3 linked regions of the Bombyx mori genome follow. The protein of the gene in region 1 interacts with the protein of each later gene in a biochemical or structural test. Links are inferred from orthologs where the notes say so. Each region holds a gene or a part of one and is shown in the gene's direction. Other genes may lie near its edges.

Evidence for each region.
Region 2: of the proteins of Rpa2 (region 1) and Cdc2, one has a biochemical effect on the other in vitro, tested with the Homo sapiens proteins (2 studies listed by BioGRID). The link is inferred for Bombyx mori from reciprocal best matches to the Homo sapiens genes RPA2 and CDK1.
Region 3: the proteins of Rpa2 (region 1) and E3 ubiquitin-protein ligase RFWD3 form a complex in vitro, tested with the Homo sapiens proteins (3 studies listed by BioGRID, with this or other methods). The link is inferred for Bombyx mori from reciprocal best matches to the Homo sapiens genes RPA2 and RFWD3.

What each region holds. Positions count from the first base shown.
Region 1 is NC_085114.1:7,172,282-7,180,017, forward strand, and holds Rpa2 (replication protein A2), read left to right. Parts: upstream 1-1,690; 5' UTR 1,691-1,826; intron 1,827-2,461; 5' UTR 2,462-2,629; coding exon 2,630-2,639; intron 2,640-2,711; coding exon 2,712-2,782; intron 2,783-2,853; coding exon 2,854-3,075; intron 3,076-3,328; coding exon 3,329-3,514; intron 3,515-4,098; coding exon 4,099-4,304; intron 4,305-4,877; coding exon 4,878-4,962; 3' UTR 4,963-4,994; downstream 4,995-7,736. Other genes in the region: LDLR chaperone boca, read right to left, coding at 6,937-7,111. UniProt on the Homo sapiens protein: As part of the heterotrimeric replication protein A complex (RPA/RP-A), binds and stabilizes single-stranded DNA intermediates that form during DNA replication or upon DNA stress.
Region 2 is NC_085122.1:10,042,377-10,048,401, reverse strand, and holds the end of Cdc2 (cell division cycle 2), read left to right. Parts: intron 1-16; coding exon 17-126; intron 127-454; coding exon 455-568; intron 569-1,432; coding exon 1,433-1,535; intron 1,536-2,205; coding exon 2,206-2,409; 3' UTR 2,410-3,413; downstream 3,414-6,025. Other genes in the region: zinc finger protein 431, read right to left, coding at 4,676-4,789, 5,572-5,655. UniProt on the Homo sapiens protein: Plays a key role in the control of the eukaryotic cell cycle by modulating the centrosome cycle as well as mitotic onset; promotes G2-M transition via association with multiple interphase cyclins.
Region 3 is NC_085117.1:96,611-102,107, reverse strand, and holds the end of E3 ubiquitin-protein ligase RFWD3, read left to right. Parts: intron 1-718; 5' UTR 719-739; coding exon 740-2,569; 3' UTR 2,570-2,885; downstream 2,886-5,497. Other genes in the region: thioredoxin domain-containing protein 9, read left to right, coding at 5,260-5,333. UniProt on the Homo sapiens protein: E3 ubiquitin-protein ligase required for the repair of DNA interstrand cross-links (ICL) in response to DNA damage. Plays a key role in RPA-mediated DNA damage signaling and repair.

The sequences.
Region 1 (7,736 bases):
GACAGCTTCGCATGATTGCTTCGTGACAGGAATAGGCCTGAAAATGCAGTAAAATATAAAGAAAGTTTTATCTGACCGTTACAGAAACCAAAAAAGTACAGACCTTTACTGGTGGTAGGACCTCTTGTGAGTCCGCACGGGTAGGTACCACCACCCTGCCTATTTCAACCCTGAAGCAGTAATGCGTTTCGGTTTGAAGCGTGGGGCAGCCGTTATAACCATACTGAGACCTTAGAACTCTTAACTAAAGTTGGGTGGCGGCATTTACGTTATAAAAGTCTATAGGCTCCGGTAACCACTAAACACTAGGTGGGCTATGAGCTCGTCCACCCAAATACGCAATAAAAAAAATGTTAAAAAAAACTTTCAGGTGAGGCTTTTTTTCCTACCTAAGCTGATAGTCTTGAGAGGCTATTTCAGCATAACCCTAACAAGTAGGTGAGCTCACGGGGCTCAAACATAATGACGTTGCTAACACTAACCCTGGCAAGAGCAGTGCGCAAGCAGCGGATTCGACGGAGAACGATGACCGGCAGGTGAGCCCTAAGTTTATTTGCCACTCAATAAATCTTAATCATAATTTGGTATTTTTCAATGTTCATCTTAGAGAGTCTTAAATGAATTATAGTGCCACCTATTTAAATTATAATAATAATGGTAATGGCTGGGTAATGTCTAAATATCTTGTTTTAATCCATATTTTTATGATTCTCATTTTATCATCTGCAGAACTCATTAACAAAGCCAAACAAAGCCTTTGGCCTTAATAGAAAGTAAGTAAGGTCAGTGGATATTATTCTTAGGGACATTAGTTAAAATAGTGGTGTATCTTATCTAAGATATGCCGATGATACAACAATCCTTGCAGCCAGCGAGTCCGAGATGGCTGCGATCTTGGAGCGAATAGAGAGAGTTAGCCTTGAATTTGGCCTGCACATAAACCGCTCTAAGACCAAAGCGATGACGGTGGACAGAGCTCAAGTTTTAAGTCCATCAAATGCGCTCAAGGATTATGAGAAAGTGGAGGAATTTATATACTTGGGGTCGCTGATCTCTAACAGTGGTAACTGCGAGAAAGAAATCGGACGCCGTATCGGGATGGCTAAAAGTGCCATGACTAGCCTCAATAAAATCTGGAAAGACCGTAATATTCGCCGAGTAACTAAGATGCGTTTGGTTCGTACGTTGGTCTTCTCTATCTTCCTGTATGGGGTGGAGACTTGGTGTCTCAGGAAAAAGGAACGCAAAAAGATCGAGGCCTTTGAAATGTATTGCTGGAGAAAGCTGCTACGCATTCCTTGGACAGCTATGAGAACCAATGTCTCCATCCTCGAAGAGCTGAAGGTCACCAAGCGCCTGCTGACTATGTGCCAGGAATGGATCCGGAGTTTTTTTGGGCACATAATGCGATCCTCATTGCACAGCCTGGAGAAACTCATAATTCTCGGACAAATAGAGGGAAAGCGCGCTAGAGGAAGAGCGCCAGCTAGATGGGTGGACCAACTCAAGGAGGTGACTGGAGGCCAGATACAGGGAGCGGCACATATGGCGCCTTTACACTCTCAGACAATATCACTTGTACTTGTAATGTTACTTGTAATTGAATATGTTAGATAGTGAATTAAAGAATATTTAATATTTATTATATTCTCGGCTAGATTCCCTTCGCCTATCCACTAAACAAATTCAAAAAAATCTATAAAATGGCGGGAATTAATTGAGACTTCTGTCTGGCCAAACTCCAAAGGGACATTTTGGTTAAAACTGTTAAAAGTTACTGAAACAAAATAAATCATCATCTTTTGGAAGATAAAATATGTGAACCTATAGTCGGATTTTTTATTAGACGAAGTCAACTGACGTTTACTGTGTTGTCAGTTTTTGATGAAATAAAAATAGTGTTGTGACAAAGTGAACGATTGAAAAAACTCCTGAATTAATGAAATTGCCTCGATTGTCTAGTGAACAGTTGGTGTGCCGAATTGCCGATATCGGGTACGGGGTTCGAATTTTAGGCGTGCTTTGTACATACCAACGAGTTTTCGACGAAATATTATGTTCCTATAATATCTACCTGTACTGAATACCGAGTGTTTTAAACATTAAGAAAAACATTGCGAGGAAGTACTTGTAAGACTGTCCTATTTCCAATACATCATATAGTTGAAATTATAGATGTATAAAATATAACAATTATAGGTAAGTAATGAAAATAAAAAAGCTGATTGTAGTTACATACTACTAGCAACATATATTGGAGCACTTTAATACAATTTTATTGTAAAATATAAATAGTACTCTTTTATAGTTTGAAATTAATGATTAACTCTTCACACTCATTGTTCATTCGTGATTGAACGAGAACTGAACGCATCACTATTACTTTAAATATAGCAACATTATTTCACAAAGTGACATTAGCTACTGTCAGCTAGCTTCGTCTAATTAAAAATCCGACTATAGTGGCTTACTCGCTTGAAAAAAGTTTACAGGAATAAGAATCAAAACTAAAAAAATTAAACCATACTACCTTTTCTATTAAGATCGGTTCGGAATTGTTTAGTGCATTGTACTACTGCTGTTACTAGAATAGTCTTCAACTAACAATTTTGACCTCTACTTTAAAACAATGTGGAATGGTTTGTTGTTTTATCATTTACATGGTTATCTTTATAGTTTTTTCTGTATTAATTAGAATTTGTTACATTCAGATGATCCTTCTGGAGGTGGCTTCCTTAACACCACAAATCAATTTGGAAATACGGCAACACCCAAAAAAACTGTAAGTTTACAAAAAAATAAAATTCAATTGATTACGAAAATTTAATATATTAATAATACATTTATTCACAGGGTCGTAGAGCGGCACGGACAGCACCTATAGTCATCAGGCAAGCTTTGCATTCTGGAGAAGAAGGTGTGAAAATATGGGGTACAGAAATTCAAATAGTGTCAATAGTTGCAAGAATCAGGAGCATTAGAATGCAAAGCACTAAAATAACATATACAATCCAAGATATAACAGGGAGGATGAGGGCTGTACTCTGGCTCGACCAAGAGGCTATGGAAGTTGAAGTAAGTGAAAGTTACTTCCAGTTTCAGAGTAATGTCAATGTAAACGAAATCATTAATTAAAATGAGTTAATCCATTAATCATGTCCACAATCATGGTAATAAAAAAAATAAAAAAATCTCAAAGTCAGATTAAGTTATTAAACTTATTCTGTGCTTTTTGAATATTTAAGTATATGCCATTTTGATTCTTTAGATATTGAGTATTTTACATAAAAAAAAACAGATATTAAATCTTTCTGAGCTTCAATTTCAGGATACCTCATCACCTAAAGTTCAAGTAAATGATTACATACAAATTTACGGCAATGTGAAAACGAATAAAGGGACAAAAGTGCTCATGGCATTTAAGATAATGCCAGTTACTGATGTCAACATTATTACATTTCACTACTTTCAGTGCATTCATAATAAAATACAAATGGAAGCTGGCTCAAAGAAGGTAATTCTAATATACCTGGTAATCTTAAAATTTATTATTCGCATTTCCATTCACCATAGCTAAAGGCAGAAGTAACTACTTATAACACAATATTTTGAGGGGTTAAAGACTATTTGGTTTAAGCAACATTTAGCTTAATACACATGAATTTTGTATTTGAAATATTTAGTTCTTGTATGTAACAAAAAGAGTTGATAATAATTGTCAGATATTTTTATTACAGTACAGTACATAAAAATATGTCATAGTATAGTATTATTTGTTATTGATTCTTCAGCAATGTAAATGATGTCTTCTTCATCAGCAATGACTTACCATTTCAATTTTCATATAAAATGAATTTCAGCACATCCAACATGCTTCTCCTTTTTTTCAGTTTTATTTTAAAATAATAATCTACTATTTTCAAACTTGAACCCTTTATTCTGATAAAGACAGAACTACAAATTTAGTTATCATTCAGCTCTTGCTAGTGCATTTGAGTTGCATCATTGCTGTGGATTATTATGTCCCATCATGAATGGTGCTTCCGCCTACATGTTTTTTGCTATACATTACTTCATAAATTGGATTTTATTTTGCAGGAAAAAAATATTCAAGATGTCCCAATTAACAACATGCTGCCTGCAAATTCAATGGTTGGAATTACTGAAACCTCTTCAGTGAATGGCTTAAATTCTCGTCAGATGATGGTCTTCAACCTTATCCGTGGCTCTACTGTTGAACAAGGAATTAGTAAACAAGATATGTATGCCTCACTGAAAGATCGAATGACAAAAGTTGAATTTGAGTATGTATTTTTTAATCAACATACTAAATTTTAATTCAAACATTTTTACCCCAATAAATTATAACTGATAACTGATAGTAAATGATAACTTAAAAATAGAGTTGAAAGGAAAAAAATAAAGCAGTTAGATTTTAAATAAATCATCACAATCAGCCCCTTTTCTTAGGAGTTTAGTGACAAACACACATACAAAAAGATTAAATCTATCTTCTATCTATCTATATATAAATTATTTGCTGTTCGTTAGTCTCGCTAAAACTCAAGAACGGCTGGTCCGATTTGTCTAATTTTGGTCTTGAATTATTTGTGGAAGTCCAGAGAAGGCTTAAAAGGTAGATAAATATGAAAATCCTCAAAATTAAATAAAAATAACAATTTTGTTTTTACTTTGATGTGTCCCTTGTCGGACGAATTCCTTTTTTTTGTTTTAAGTTTCTTTTATACAAAAGTTTAGGTCTTTTATTTATCGATTGAGGCACTACAAAGTCTGCTGGGTCAGCTAGTATAATATAAAAATTTAAAATTAAGTATAGAAAAATTAAAGGGTTTTAATTTTTTTATGATTACTTGCAGAAACATTTTGGAATGGATGTGTGGAGAAGGTCATATCTACTCAACAATTGATGAAGAGCATTTTAGAGCAACTGATGCATTTTAAAAGTTATATATTTCATTTTTTAAAACTTTTATGTAATAAATATTTTGTACCAATTTTTTGTTATTGCTCTAGTTGAGCTAATTTTAAACCTGGTTAGTGAATAGGTACCAAGAGTGTTCCAGGGGTACACCAAAATCAGAATTATTTTATTCAAGTAAGTATTAATAGATACTTGAATCAGCAGGACTTCCATCTGACCCTGTAGACAACACATCCTGAAACAAGATCACCAATTATACAAAGCGAGATTTTCACTTTGTGTAACCAGACCCGCGGCTCCACCTCGAGGACGCCCGACCGACGATTCATTGAGGCGATGATCGACCACCAATGATGCCGGTTTCCGCGGTACGTCGGCCCTAAAAGGTCGCCCGGGCATGCCGTGGCGTTTCGGTATACCCCGCTGGGCCAGAACCAGCCAGCCGAGTCGGAACGCGATACATCACCGACCGGGTTGCTCTACCACAGTATGTTCGGCGACGACGGCAATGGGGATCGCTGCCGACAACGCTTTGTCCCATCCTCCTGGTACCAGCGCCCTAGAGTAACGGCAGCGTGCGGTGCAGCCTCGACCCCCTCAGGTTGCACCTTGGCCACCACCGGGAGAAGATTGCCTCCTCACAGGAGCAATGTCTATGGGTTAAGCATTACCAGGGGCAGAGCCAACCTGCTGCCTATCGTTAAAATTTCTCCAGGATTGAATTGGACCAGTGGTTGTCTTCACGGATGCAGATTTTGATATTTTTATTTATTGCCCTTGTAGGCAGACGAGCATACGGCTCACCAGATGGTCAGTGGTAACCGTCGCCTATGGATTGCAGCAATGCCAGGAGCAGAGCCAACCTGCTGCCTACCATTAAAATTTGTCCAGGATTGGATTGGATCAGTGGTTGTTTTCACGAATGTCGATTTTGAGATTTTTAATTATTACTCTTGTAGGCAGACGAGCACACGGCCCACCTGGTGGTGAGTGGTAACCGTAGCCCATGGACTTTAGCAATGCTAGGGGCAGAGGCAAGGCGCTGGTTACCGTCCATTTGATTGTCCATTGATTTGAACACCGTAAACCTTTTTTTCTCCATGACAAAATTCGTAAAGCTCCAACTCTCGACTGCGATCACTGAAGAAAACGTAGCGATTTTTATGCGATTCATTGAAGAACATCGACATATCACAAGGATCTTGAGGATTGGATGCTGAATCAAACAAGAGTCAACAAACAAATGATATAAATACATTTGTCTGGTTTTTTTTAAAATAATTATGACTGATTACAATTAAGATAACGTACATTGTTTTTTGTATCCCAAGGAACAAGTCACTGACACCATCCATCCAGTGAGTCTTTAAAACTTTACAACAGATCCATACAGTGAGTCTTTACAACTTCGAAGTTCAAAACGTTTTTCGTATTGACATTTTGAGTTTTACGTTTAGCGTAACATTGCCGTTATAACAAATTAGTGGTAGCAGCATCAAAAGACTTTCTTTGATGTTACTTGATTGTTAATATAACATTCTTTTGAACTGGTAGCAAGCTGGATTTTTATATGTAGGCAAATGCCTCTCTAATTACCAATCATGTGGGCCATATGCTTATTATTCATGAACATTAACACAAAATAAAACTGATTCCTCTTTTCATTTACTTTTATTTAAAAAAATAGAAAATTTTGCTCATTTTTACAGGATAAGCTGACGTTAGCCCATCCTAATAACTTGATCAATAAAATACCGCTTTTTCAACATACCTTAATGAAACTAATAAGATCTCAAATTGTACTAAATTAGCTAGTACATAATTGTGGTTTTTTATTATAAGATAAAATCTTTCTAAAAGTGTTTGTATTGTAAATGAATATTCTGATTTTTTTCATTTATGTTGGTAGATTACTCTCAGCTTCAGGAATGTTTACGGAAAACTTTAGTACAAATATACATATAAATCATACAATTTATTTTATTATAGTTATTTTATAACTCATCCCTTAGAGCTTTGTTTTTAATATCAGGTTTCTTTCCTGGGTATGTTTGACTTTCCAATTGAACTTCTTTAAGCTCCTCCTGTTCTAATAGAAATTCTTTAGCAGTCCATGCTTGAGATCCATCTTTGAACATGAAAATGGCTCTGTCATCATCTATTAAGTACCTAAAACAAAACTTCCTTTAACTAAAGCCACTCATACTGGGGTATGGGATCTGGTAACATTTGACAAATGAGCAGTTTGTTTGACTATCTATGCTGTTTAAAAAAATCATATCAATTTGATAGGAACCTCTGAATTCACCCTGATTATGCACACATGCATGTTTGTGTAATATTATTGACATTCTGTTTTATTATAAAGCAAGGTTTTTAGTTTCAATGACAATAAAATAAACTGAATTAAGGGACTCCGCAGGTAAATAGATATCCATTCAATTAGTTACTCTTTCCTGCTAAAACTTCAGATAAAGAGGCAATAGGGCTGCATCTTCATTACCCAGATGTTAAATTTAATAAGGATAGTACTAAGACTGTTTACTGGTAATAATAACTTTGACTAATTTCAATTTTGAATAACAGAAACTGTTACCAGAGGCTACAACCCAAGGTGTCTTAACAAGTTTCCTTGTCAAGCAACATTGGTGTTTGTCTCATTTTTTATAAAAAAGTAACAAACTTGATGATGTTGAATTACAGGAGTTGATTAACTATACTGAGACCTTAGAACTTGTATCTTAAGGTGGGTGGGGCGTCTACGTTTTAGATGTTTATGGGCTCTAGTAACCAC
Region 2 (6,025 bases), on another chromosome or scaffold:
AATAAATTTGTGACAGGTTGCAGATTTTGGTCTTGGTCGAGCATTCGGTGTTCCAGTGCGGGTCTACACACATGAAGTTGTCACATTGTGGTACAGGGCTCCTGAGGTCTTACTAGGAAGTCAAAGGTAAAATCTTATCCAAATCAGTCAAAACCAGCCACTACAAACTCCAATATAACTTTTCTATAATGAGTAATCAATACACATTAGTTGTAATTTGGCCCAATAATGAAATGTATTTTAGAAAAAACATTTTGTTTTAAGAGCTTTAGACTTTGTTTTCTAAAAAATGGCAAGTTGCATTGTAAATTCATAGAATAGTGTGGCAATACATTGCCACTAATTGTTTCTTAATACAAAAGAATGGTCAGTGACCGTGTGGAGTTCATTATTTGGTAGATTATTTATTTATTTATTATTTATTTTGTATAATAGTAACTTGTCTTACTTTTAGATACTCTTGTCCAATTGATATATGGTCAGTTGGCTGTATATTCTCTGAGATGTCATCAAAGAAGCCACTGTTTCAAGGAGACTCTGAAATTGATCAACTCTTCCGCATTTTCAGGTGAGTAGGCATTTCGCCATTTTAGTGGTAGGCTTTGGCTATGTATTTCTGAGGTCCATGAGCAACGGTGACCACTTACTGTGATGCTTGTCTGCCTTAGATTTATTAGAGTTAAATCTTAACAACAATAATTGAAAAAAAAAAGTTTTTTATGCTCCCTTCAACAATGGAATGTAACTGGTGCTTAGAATAAAACTCTAGTTTTGGATTAAAACACAGATTGAACACTAACTAAAATATGATGTGGACATTCAAGTTTTGGTTGTTTTTTTTGGGTGTGCAATTACTACAACAACACTTATATAACAGTTAATAAATTTTAAAAAAACCTGTTGTTGGGGTAATTAAATTATAATAATACTATTTCAACTTGATTGAGTGATTTCCTTCCAATAAAAGAATGAATATAATGAAATGTTTGACTTACATTTACAGGGCAGTAAATATGATTATAAATATGTAATTTTGAAGTATGTAGAAAGAAATAGAAGACTAGTTTACATATTGTTAGCCTCTAAAACTTCTGTTTATCCATTCCATTCCCGGATGTACCTCCACTTTCTTGCGACCTTGCTTATACCTGATATTAGCTTAAATAAAACAAACTATATGTGTAAATTCAAATCAATAAAGTGTGAAATTCTGAACAGATAGATTTGCTCCATGCATAATTTCCAATGAAATGGAGATACATGAATGAACTAAACTTCTAATATGGGATTTGTGACTCCCAATTTTTTTTGAGTTAATTTTTCTGACTCATTTTCCAATTTCGTTTATGATCAATGTATATGGTATCTGCTGGAGTACACTTTTTCTTATTAGTAACTATTTAAATCACAAGATCTCTTAATTTATTAACAGAATGCTAAGAACGCCAACAGAAGAGATATGGCCTGGTGTTTCTCTCCTACCAGACTACAAGCCAACCTTCCCGAACTGGAACACGTACAATCTGCACAATCATGTACGTATGAAGCATATTTTATTTTAGATTTTTATATGTCTATTGTTCTTGAGATATTTCCAGATATATGAAAAACTAATTGAATTCTATTACATAATGAGTGACACTACTCCAGCTAGCCAAGATATTCCCTTGGGATTTTAGTGAAAGTTTATTTTAGCAGAACCAGCTGTTAAAAGTTTTGTGTGTGTGTGTGTGTGTGTGTTGTATAATGTTTTTTTAATATATTTATTCTGGACTTTGATGTCCTGTTTCTGTCGTGAAGCACTTATGCGTTCCAGTTTGTAAGATGGGACAGCTCTTATGTGATTTATATTGAAACTTCGACCTCATATCAAAACTATCTTTCTTCACTTTCTTTATCGCTCAGACTTGTGATTGAGCATGTGGCCCACCTATAATAACGGTAACGGAATCTAATAAACAGCATTTATTCATGTCATTAACGACACAAATGCCGCCACCCATCTTGGAACATAAGTTCTGAGTCCCAGTTTTACAGTACAATAGTTGTCTCGTCATTCAAACCAGAATACGTTACTGCTCGTGCGGACTTACAAGACTCCCCAACACCATTTAAGCTATATTATATTATACTAGTTATTATCAATGACGTGACTGAGTTAAATCTTTTCTTCCTACCGTCAATTGTAACGTGCATTTTTTACAGGTACAAAACCTAGACGAAGTGGGCATGGATTTGTTACAAAAGATGTTAGTCTACGATCCGGTTAAAAGAATATCCGCGAAGGACGCGCGACGACACAAGTACTTTAGAGACGTGAAACTACCTCCCGGACTGACAGTGCACGACGCTTACATCAGAGTGACGCCAGAATACCCATACGACACGGATTCTGTTCAAAGTGTATAGGAGACACGAATCATTAGAACTAGGTGTCATTTATAAAGACTACAAATATATTTTCAGAACGAATACAAAGTACAACTCAGTTGGGCTCCTCTGTCGCAATCATTGCATTTTAATTTGAGAGATTTGAGGTATGTTCTCTATACTGTATTCTCCACAATTCGCATCCAATCTCCTTATAGTAGAACCTTAATATTTAAATGTACTTTATTTTATCGAATTTGATCTAAAAATTAAATTAGTCAATTCAGATTATTGAAAAACTAAGACTAGTAAACGCGAGACGTAATTTAGTTAAAGCTTTGAACTTAAATAATTTACGTAAAGGCTTTTTAATGAATTTGTGTGTCTGTGAAGTTGGGATTTTAAACCGTCGAGAATAAATGAATAGATGTGAGTTATTTTAAAGCTATTTCGGCGAAGAGCTTAATTTTTAAATCAAGTCACTAGGTTTTAAATAGTGACCATAGAAAATTATTGTTTGATTATTATAGAAAAACGTGTCATAGTTTGTTCGAAGTTGTACAAACCTTCATAGTTTTAACTTTGAATGTTGGTTTCGTTCATTACCTTAACACTAATTTGAGAATTATTGATAGTTAATTAACCTTGAATAAATTAATTCTCGTTGTCTAATCGTGTCGTGTATACATCTTTGTGTCGTTTTGTCATGTTCGACTTATGTTATAGGATAGTATTTAATTATTTCTTCTGTAATAATATTACTGCCAAATAGTTGTCTTCATTGAACTGTTTAATAAGTTTTTACGAACGCTGAAATGCTTAATAACCTCAGACACCAAAGGCTAAAGCAGTAAACTTAGTGCATAAAAAACTAACCACAATAGTTTAATTATCATTACAAACTAACTTTGGATTTGGATAAGGGTTCCTTTCGACTAAAATACCTGTTTAATAATATATAAAACTTGCAGTATTATCATTCACGCCTTCAAAGAAATATTCTGGAGCTTGTGATGATCATAATAGTTTGTTAAATATAGTTTGATATGCGGCAAATGTGATTTATAGGATTATAAGTCCCATTCGAATAAAATCATTTTTGAAAATTATTATTTTTCAAACTATTCGCTGTGCAAACTCCCGGCGTATCAAACTGTTTTCAACAAACTATAGGACTCTGAACGGTTTTTACATACATTTATTAGTAATGCATTTGGAGATAAGTTTAACTATATTGTTCTGTATGCTGTTGAAACATCGTGTGACATGAGAAGTATTTTATATGTATTTTCATGGAAACTTAATTAATTTAAACTTAATTATCTGTCCAATTCATGTTCTTCATACACTATTATGTCATCTAAATAAATAAATACATAAGATCAATAGGTTGTACTGCAAATATTTCTTTAGTATAACAGAATTATAAATTGAAATTGTTTTAAATCTCTTCAATTAATATCTAATACCAACAACGTGTTTCTTTTTCTTCTAAAATAATTGTAAACAGTTTGTTTTTAATAGTAAAGCATAATTATTTATTTAATTGATATATATATATTACATGTTTGACGTGTGGGTGTTTTAATAAATAATATGAAAAAAGACGTTTTGATAAACTTTTGACAAGAAACAAATGTAATATTATTTTCTTAAGTTTTTGCCAATTTCTCTGGACCGCTCATAAGTTAATTTTATTTTTAATTATATGTAATGGAATGTGTATTTGATTGATAATATTTTTAAGCATTGTCTTAATTTGTAAAGTATAATAATAATTTTAATATAACTGTGTTGTTTTACTGAAACAAGAAAGTTAATTGACAATTCGTTTATTTTTTTCTAATAGAGCTATGATCAAAATTGTACATAAAATATACAGAAGAAACACTAAAGCTAAGTCATATGCTATCACCTCCTGAAAACTATTACAATATAAAACCTAATTATTATTCTGGTATTAAATAATTTACTACTGTAAAAGAAAACGTTTGATTATTATAATAATACAACAATATCGACTTTGAAAATAAAATTTAAGAAACAAAAAAATAAATACAACTAACAAATATGGGTAGCAGTACTTTAACATATGTACTTTCATTGCTTTTAAAATCCTACAATTATTATTATAATAATAAGTATTTAATTTTATTTACAGATCTATAAAAATCAACAACAAATTCTGATAAAGCTACTTATATAAAGTATGCACCGCAGACTATATTTAATTGACAGGAAAAGTACGAATAAAAATCGATTAAAATATCACCTCAAAATTTCAATCGATTATTCGATTTTATTATTAGTGATGTATGAACACGTGAGGGTGTCCCGGTTGAGGCTGCAGTATGATGCGATGCGGCACGTTGATCTCCTGCTGGCCCAGGCCCGACACCGCCACCGTCCCCGGCTGGAGCTGTTCATACAATCACAGTATACTGATACTGGTGGAGGGACCTTTTGTGAGTCCGCACGGGTAGGTACCACCGCCCGGCCTATTTCTGCCGTGAAGCAGTATTGCGTTTCGGTTTTAAGGGTGGGGCAGCCGTTGTAACTATACTGAAACCTTAGAACTTATATTTCAAGGTGGGTGGCGCATTTACGTTGTAGATGTCTATGGGCTCCAGTAACCACTTAATATCAGGTGGGCTGTGAGCTCGTCCAACCATATAAGCTATAAAAAAAATCTCTGTACTGCTAACTAATCTAAAGTGTAGGACGAAGTAATTAAAATTTAGACCAATTGTTTCACGTTGAAGTGTCCTGATATGTTTTTAGACAATATAAATAATCGACTATTAAATATTTAATTTCTTAGGAAAATTAATTAAAAATCAACATATGTCCTTTTTATATTCCTAAAACAATCATATGGTTGTGATGAGACTTAATACAGTTATTTTTTTCTACCTATTCTAGTGACTTCGAGGGGTCATACTATTATGACCGAGTACTAGTATGAGTTCACGGGGCTCTAATCTGAGGACGTTGCTAACACTGACCCTAGCAAGAGCAGTGCTTCACAGAAACTACCACCGGATCGGAAACGCGACCCACAGAGTTATTGTCTGCACACCAAGGCACTGTCTTAGCACTATCACTATGTAACGAGTGGGCTCATATAATCGGCGATGGTCTGCCCGTAATGAGTTTCACTTGAGAAATAATTAAACAAAGTGCCTATTAAGGTTTGTTTACCTGTAGAATGTTCGGGAGCATCGTTTGACAGGAAGAAGTGGCGACGTGAAGCTGTTGTTGTTGCACTTGTTGCACGCCGACCGCCTAAACAAAATTTTGAGTCTCTTAAACATTGTTGTTTCAAAAGCTTGAGGTTTTTACTGGTGGTAGGACCTCTTGTGAGTCCGCGCGGGTGGGTACCACCACCCTGCCTGTTTCTGCCGTGAAGCAGTAAGGCGTTTCGGTTTGAAGGGTGGGGCAGCCGTTGTAACTATACTAAGACCTTAGAACGTATATCTCAAGGTGGGTGGCGCATTTACGTTGTAGATGTCTATGGGCTCCAGTAACTGCTTAACACCAGGTGGGCTGTGTGCTCGTCCACCCAAAAATGCAATAAAAAATGTAGATCATCCTCATTACAAAATATACTGCATTCATGAAAACTGCGATAAGCTCGCCTTGTGCATTCTCATGC
Region 3 (5,497 bases), on another chromosome or scaffold:
TCTGATACATGAGGCTGTTGATAACTAAGACTTTAAGCTGATGTCTCAAGGTGAGGGGTGGCATGCATGTTATGATGTATGGGTTTCATGGTGAGGTTTCATGGTGAGGTGGCGGTGTATCGCGTTCCGACCTGGCAGGCTGGTTCTGGCTCAGCGGGGTATCCCGGAACACCAGCGTCATCGCCCGGGCGGCTCGGTAGGGCCGCCGTACCGCGGAGACCGAAGTCGTTGGTCGTCGACTATCGCCTCGACGACCCGTCGGTCGAGCGTCCTCAGGGTGGCGCCGCGTGTCTGGTTGTAGTGTTGACTGCAGGAACCCCTCTACTCTGACCGGGTATTGACCCCGAACGGAGATCGGACGTCGGGTGTAAGAGTGCAGGGGAGTCGTTTAGTGGGTGTGCCCTAAAATTCCTTGGGCCCGCTGTCTGCTTCCAACACCTTGCAGATCGTTGAGTCCCACATAGCCCGCGCGCCCCATAGGCGCGGGGACCTCGTAAGAGGTTCGGGCCTCGGCCCGAAAAAAAAAAAGTCTGAGGTAAAGGATTTGTTAAATTAAATTAATTGGAAATTCAAATTTTAGATAATTATTATTTTGCGTTGTTTGTTGAGCCATCAGCAATTCTACCACTCGTCTTCGTTTCCAGGAACATTACCAACACACCTTCTATGTAATCAAGAAAAGGATGACTTAGACCAAAAACATTTTCTCTGTTCCCAGGTAACCCAATGACTACGAAAAATGAGCCAGTATCCCACCGCACAGAGCCAGGGCACAGAGTCACCGGGGAGTCCAAATATATTCGAAGAACCGGAGCAAAGCTTCGCAGCAGCAGAGAATGACAACCACATAGATCTGCCGTCGACTAGTCGAAGCCATGATCACGATCCCTCCGAGGGTCCGTTAGATGTGCCCAGCGATGAGCCCATACAAATAGACTTGGCCGGTCCCTTGAGGTACGACAACGATGACAGCAACGACACGGTGCTGAACATCATCATTAACGGACCAGGACACCTCCCGGCTCAGAGCGAGGACAGCAACCTCACTTCACCTCTCACCTCATTCAGCGATGAGAGCACGAGACAATCTATAAATGAAGATTCGAATAGTTGCGCTTCGATCAGATTGAACCCCAGGCCCCCTGATGACATCGAACCCCCAGCCAAACTCAGGAAGATGAACGAAGTCGAAGAGGTCGACGGCGAAACCTGCCCGATTTGCTTGGACTCGTGGGGTAACTCCGGTGACCACAGGCTAGTAGCACTGCGCTGCGGTCACCTTTTCGGTTCAGAGTGTGTGGAGCGCTGGCTGAAGGCTCAGAAACTAAAAGACAGAACGTGCCCGACCTGCAAGGGGAAGGCCAACTTGAAGGACCTGAGGTTCATATACGCGAGGCGCTTGGTAGCGGCGGACACTTCGCAAATTACGGCTCTACAAAAACAAGTTGAGATTCTTCAATCAGAGAAGAGCAGAACCGAACTGGAATTAGAAAAGATGAAGATAGCACATCGCGCTTGCGTGCAACAGCTCGAGGGCCTACGGAGCACCCTAATGAAGTCTCAATCTAACAAGGAGCAGCCTTCCAGGAAGTCCTGGAGGTTCGCCTTGGAGAAGAACCTTGAAATATGCAAGGACGGAGGCTGCAGAGTCCTGACCTACAACTGCCGGACCTACGAGTTGTATGTGTCCCAGAAGAGCGTCAACTATCTCTTCCCTGGATTCGGGATAAGGAAGATCAGCTGTGTCGACTACAAGCTGGGGCAGTTCGTCCATCTGCACCCGAAGCCGATCCGCGACATCACGTACTCCCAGCACCGGGACCTGCTGCTGAGCGTGGCCCTGGACAGCACGGCGCGGATAGTCGAGCGCGGCATCCTCAGCGTGACGGTGAACTCGGGCATGCCGCTCTGGTCCTGCTCTTGGGACAACTTGCGCAGCAACGAGTTCTACGTAGGCGGCGTCGGAGGCGTGATCCACCACTATGACGTCAGAAACCCTAGCACCTACTTACGGATGCTGAGCTCTCCGGGGGACCTGTCACCAGTTGTGTCTTTGTGTTCCACAGAATATGGTCTCTTGTCGTGCCAGTTGAACTCATCGAAGCTGTGGGCGGTGAACACAAGGCAGTGTGAGCCGAGGGTCTTGCCCGTGGAAGGATCGTTCATGTCTCTGGCCTATGATAACGCGTCCCAACGCGCCGTCATAGCGTCCAGACCGAGTTCGAATGGTCTAGAAAGATCTAAGTTGAGCGTCTGTAAATTGAAACCGAGCATACCGAACGGCGAAGTTATTTGTGACGTGGTAGAAACATTCTCGGGGTCGCTCAGGTCCTCGTTGATGTCCAAAGTGGCCTGGGTGAGGTTAGCGAGCTCTGCGTGGGTCGCCGCTCATTCTGAAAGCGATTCAGCGCTTTATTTGCACGGCGTCGACGGCACGCGGACCATGTCCCTGCCCGCGTCGGAGCCCGCGCTGGACGTGTGCTCGGTCGAGACGAACGGAAGCAATATACTGGCGGCTCTGTCAGAGTCCCGACTCAGGCTGTACAAGGCGGTCCCCACCAATACGTGACACGATTACACCATTCCATATTAATGTAACTTTTATATTGCTTGACGACGTTGTAGCGTTCAAATTGTCTTGACAGCTGTCATTTTTGACAAGAGTCATGAAAAATTAAATTGAGTGCTTGTTGTCTCTTTTGCTCCCGAAGCTGTGACTTCAGCATGCAGCGTCTATGGTCACTTGCTTATAACAACGCGCTAAGTACTTTGATTTGTATAAATATAATAATTCTTAAATGATATTTTAGACTTTGTAATATAATTTATATTTAAAATGTTTTGTAAATATTAATTGTGTTGAGAAAGTAAAATTTAAACCTTGATACTGTGTTATGTTTCTCTTTGTACACCCATATTATAGAGCTGAAGTTCTTACCCACAGAGCCTCAAGTTTGAACGTGGTGCATGGTGCATGAGGCAGGTGGTTTCAGAAAACTGAGTTATGGTATGTTTACCAAAATCAAAGACGCGATTGTTTAAAATGTCAAGAAAACTAATTAGATGAAAGAATTATATTAATATTAAGTGTATTAACCACGATATTAATTATAGAATTTTGCTATATTAATGGTATTCAATTTGAATACTCTTAACAAGGTAAATAGCTAGTTAATTTTTGTCTTTGACAATAAATAATGCTTTATATATTCAAATAGTAAATATGGAACATTCTTTCTTAAGATTAGGCTTTAAAAGAAAGGATCTTCGCACCAGGTCGATCGGCAGTTCATGTACTGGTATCCAGTAAAATAGATAGGCATTTTGTGAAAAATTCACCAGTCAATCTCCTTCGGATCCTTCCGACCTGCAGATCAGACCCGATACAGGCTTCGCCCAATTTAGATTTTTACTTAGGATAGCATACTGCATTAACTGTGGGAACCAGACTTTTTTTTGCTAAATATCTTCTTGGCTTGGCCTTTGTAGTCATAAGCCTTTTCTGGACTTTGATTTCACTGTCAAAATCAATATTGTCAACTGTCGATTGAAACTTGTCAAAACTCAAAACTGAAAATAAACAGTAGGTCCACTTTTGTTTCTAAGTTTCCAATACGAAAGTCTGTTTTTTTGAAAAGAAATTCTTAAATTTACCACATTAAAGACGTTAATTAAGTAACATTTTTATAAAACTCATTATTTGAACCAGTACAAATCATCGTAAAAACGTAAGTAACAGTATTATTTGTGAGAAATGTACCGTGTGCGCGAATGAGGTCACCACCATTGATTAGGTTTTAAAAAAAGTAAAATGATTTTTTTTATTTTCGGTTTTCATTCAAAAATTCCTTTCTTTTGCGTCATACCAGAGTTTCATTCTATATACCTTTTTTCTCAGCGGTTCTAAGCCCCTGATGCGGCCGGTCTACGTCCGTGCCGGGCCCACGGCCCACGCGTGGTCACGTCTCTTTTAGATAATTAAACCAGTTTGCTCACCATAGCAGCTTAATATTAAATTCTGTAGTGCGCATTTACTCTCGTATCTAAATTATAATTTCTAAAGATTAATAAGCAACGGTAACCGCTTACATCCCATCTCTCTGGTGCTAATTACTAAAACTATTGGTCTATATTTACTCCAACTGATTGTCTGAAGGGAAGCACCATCCACAATATGGTTAGGTAAGCAACTTGGCCATGTTAACTGCTTACTCTCTCTAGTAAGAGTGCTAGAAAATAATTGTAAAACAATCTCTACAATAATGTAGATACCTGACTGTAATTGTGTGGCACTTAAACATAAATTTGACAATATAAGAAGGTTTAGAGTTTATAATATTGAAATGTTTAAAATAACGTAAACAACGATATCCACATGGTCTTAAAATTAATTTTAATTTTATCAATACCTCGCTAAAACCTAACAAAATACAATGATTAGTTGTAAAACTGAGAGTAAAGGGAATGAGTGCTCATAAATAGCAGCACTACGCCAAAAAATTATTAAAATATCAATTCAAAATCGTTTTTTTTTTGGTAATGTTTTCTTTGCACACAACAAATGAAGAATGAAAGTATTTCAGATATGTTGTACGTTATTGTGGATGTTTGAAAAATTTTGGGGTAGTTTTTGCACTGGTAAAATTGACAGTGATTGTATTAATGTAGTTATTGAAAAATTAAGAAAATATTTAATAGGTCAGACTGTATATATTCTATAATAGTTTTATTACAAACTCTAAGTGACAGTCATTTATTTGTAGAAATAGAAACGCCATTTATGTTACGGAGCGTAACAAACAATTTTGGAATTGGGTGTAGTACACTTGGGTGTAGTAAGAGCAGACAAAAAATAAAACAATCAGTTCCTTTAAATTGAACACTCAGGAAAAATCATTCACGTCCTAGAGCCATAGGGTAGAGTGTGGCAACATTGAAGATGAAATTTAAAGAGCAAAGCGAAACAAAGTGTAACATTCTATGCCTTAAAGACTTTTTCACTACTACTAGGTATATAATTGATACTAGCGAGTACTGAATGATATTTTATGATATCGATTCTTAGAACTGTCAATACATGTGTCTTTGATTAAAACCGTTTCGTTATTATTGAACTTTAGCTCGTTTAAATATTTATCATTTTTGTTCTTTCACGGAATACTAAGTATAGGCAATGTGATTTTTTATCATAGTATATTAAATTGTGCCTACTAAATTTGTTTATATTTAAATGTTATAAGCTTTTTTTCAGTAATCACAATGGCGAACGTCGACCAGTTGCTGCAGCATGTTGCCCAGAATGTAGAGAGACAGATTGACAGTGAAATCGAAAGGTAAATAAAATGGTACTGTAAAAACTGAGATGTTAGAACATATAGCTCAAGGTAGGTGGCAGCATTTACGTTGTAGATGCCTATGGGCTTTGGTAACCATTTAAGATAAGATGGGCCGAGAACTCGTCCACTCATCTAAGTAATAAATAAGAACAGATTATTAG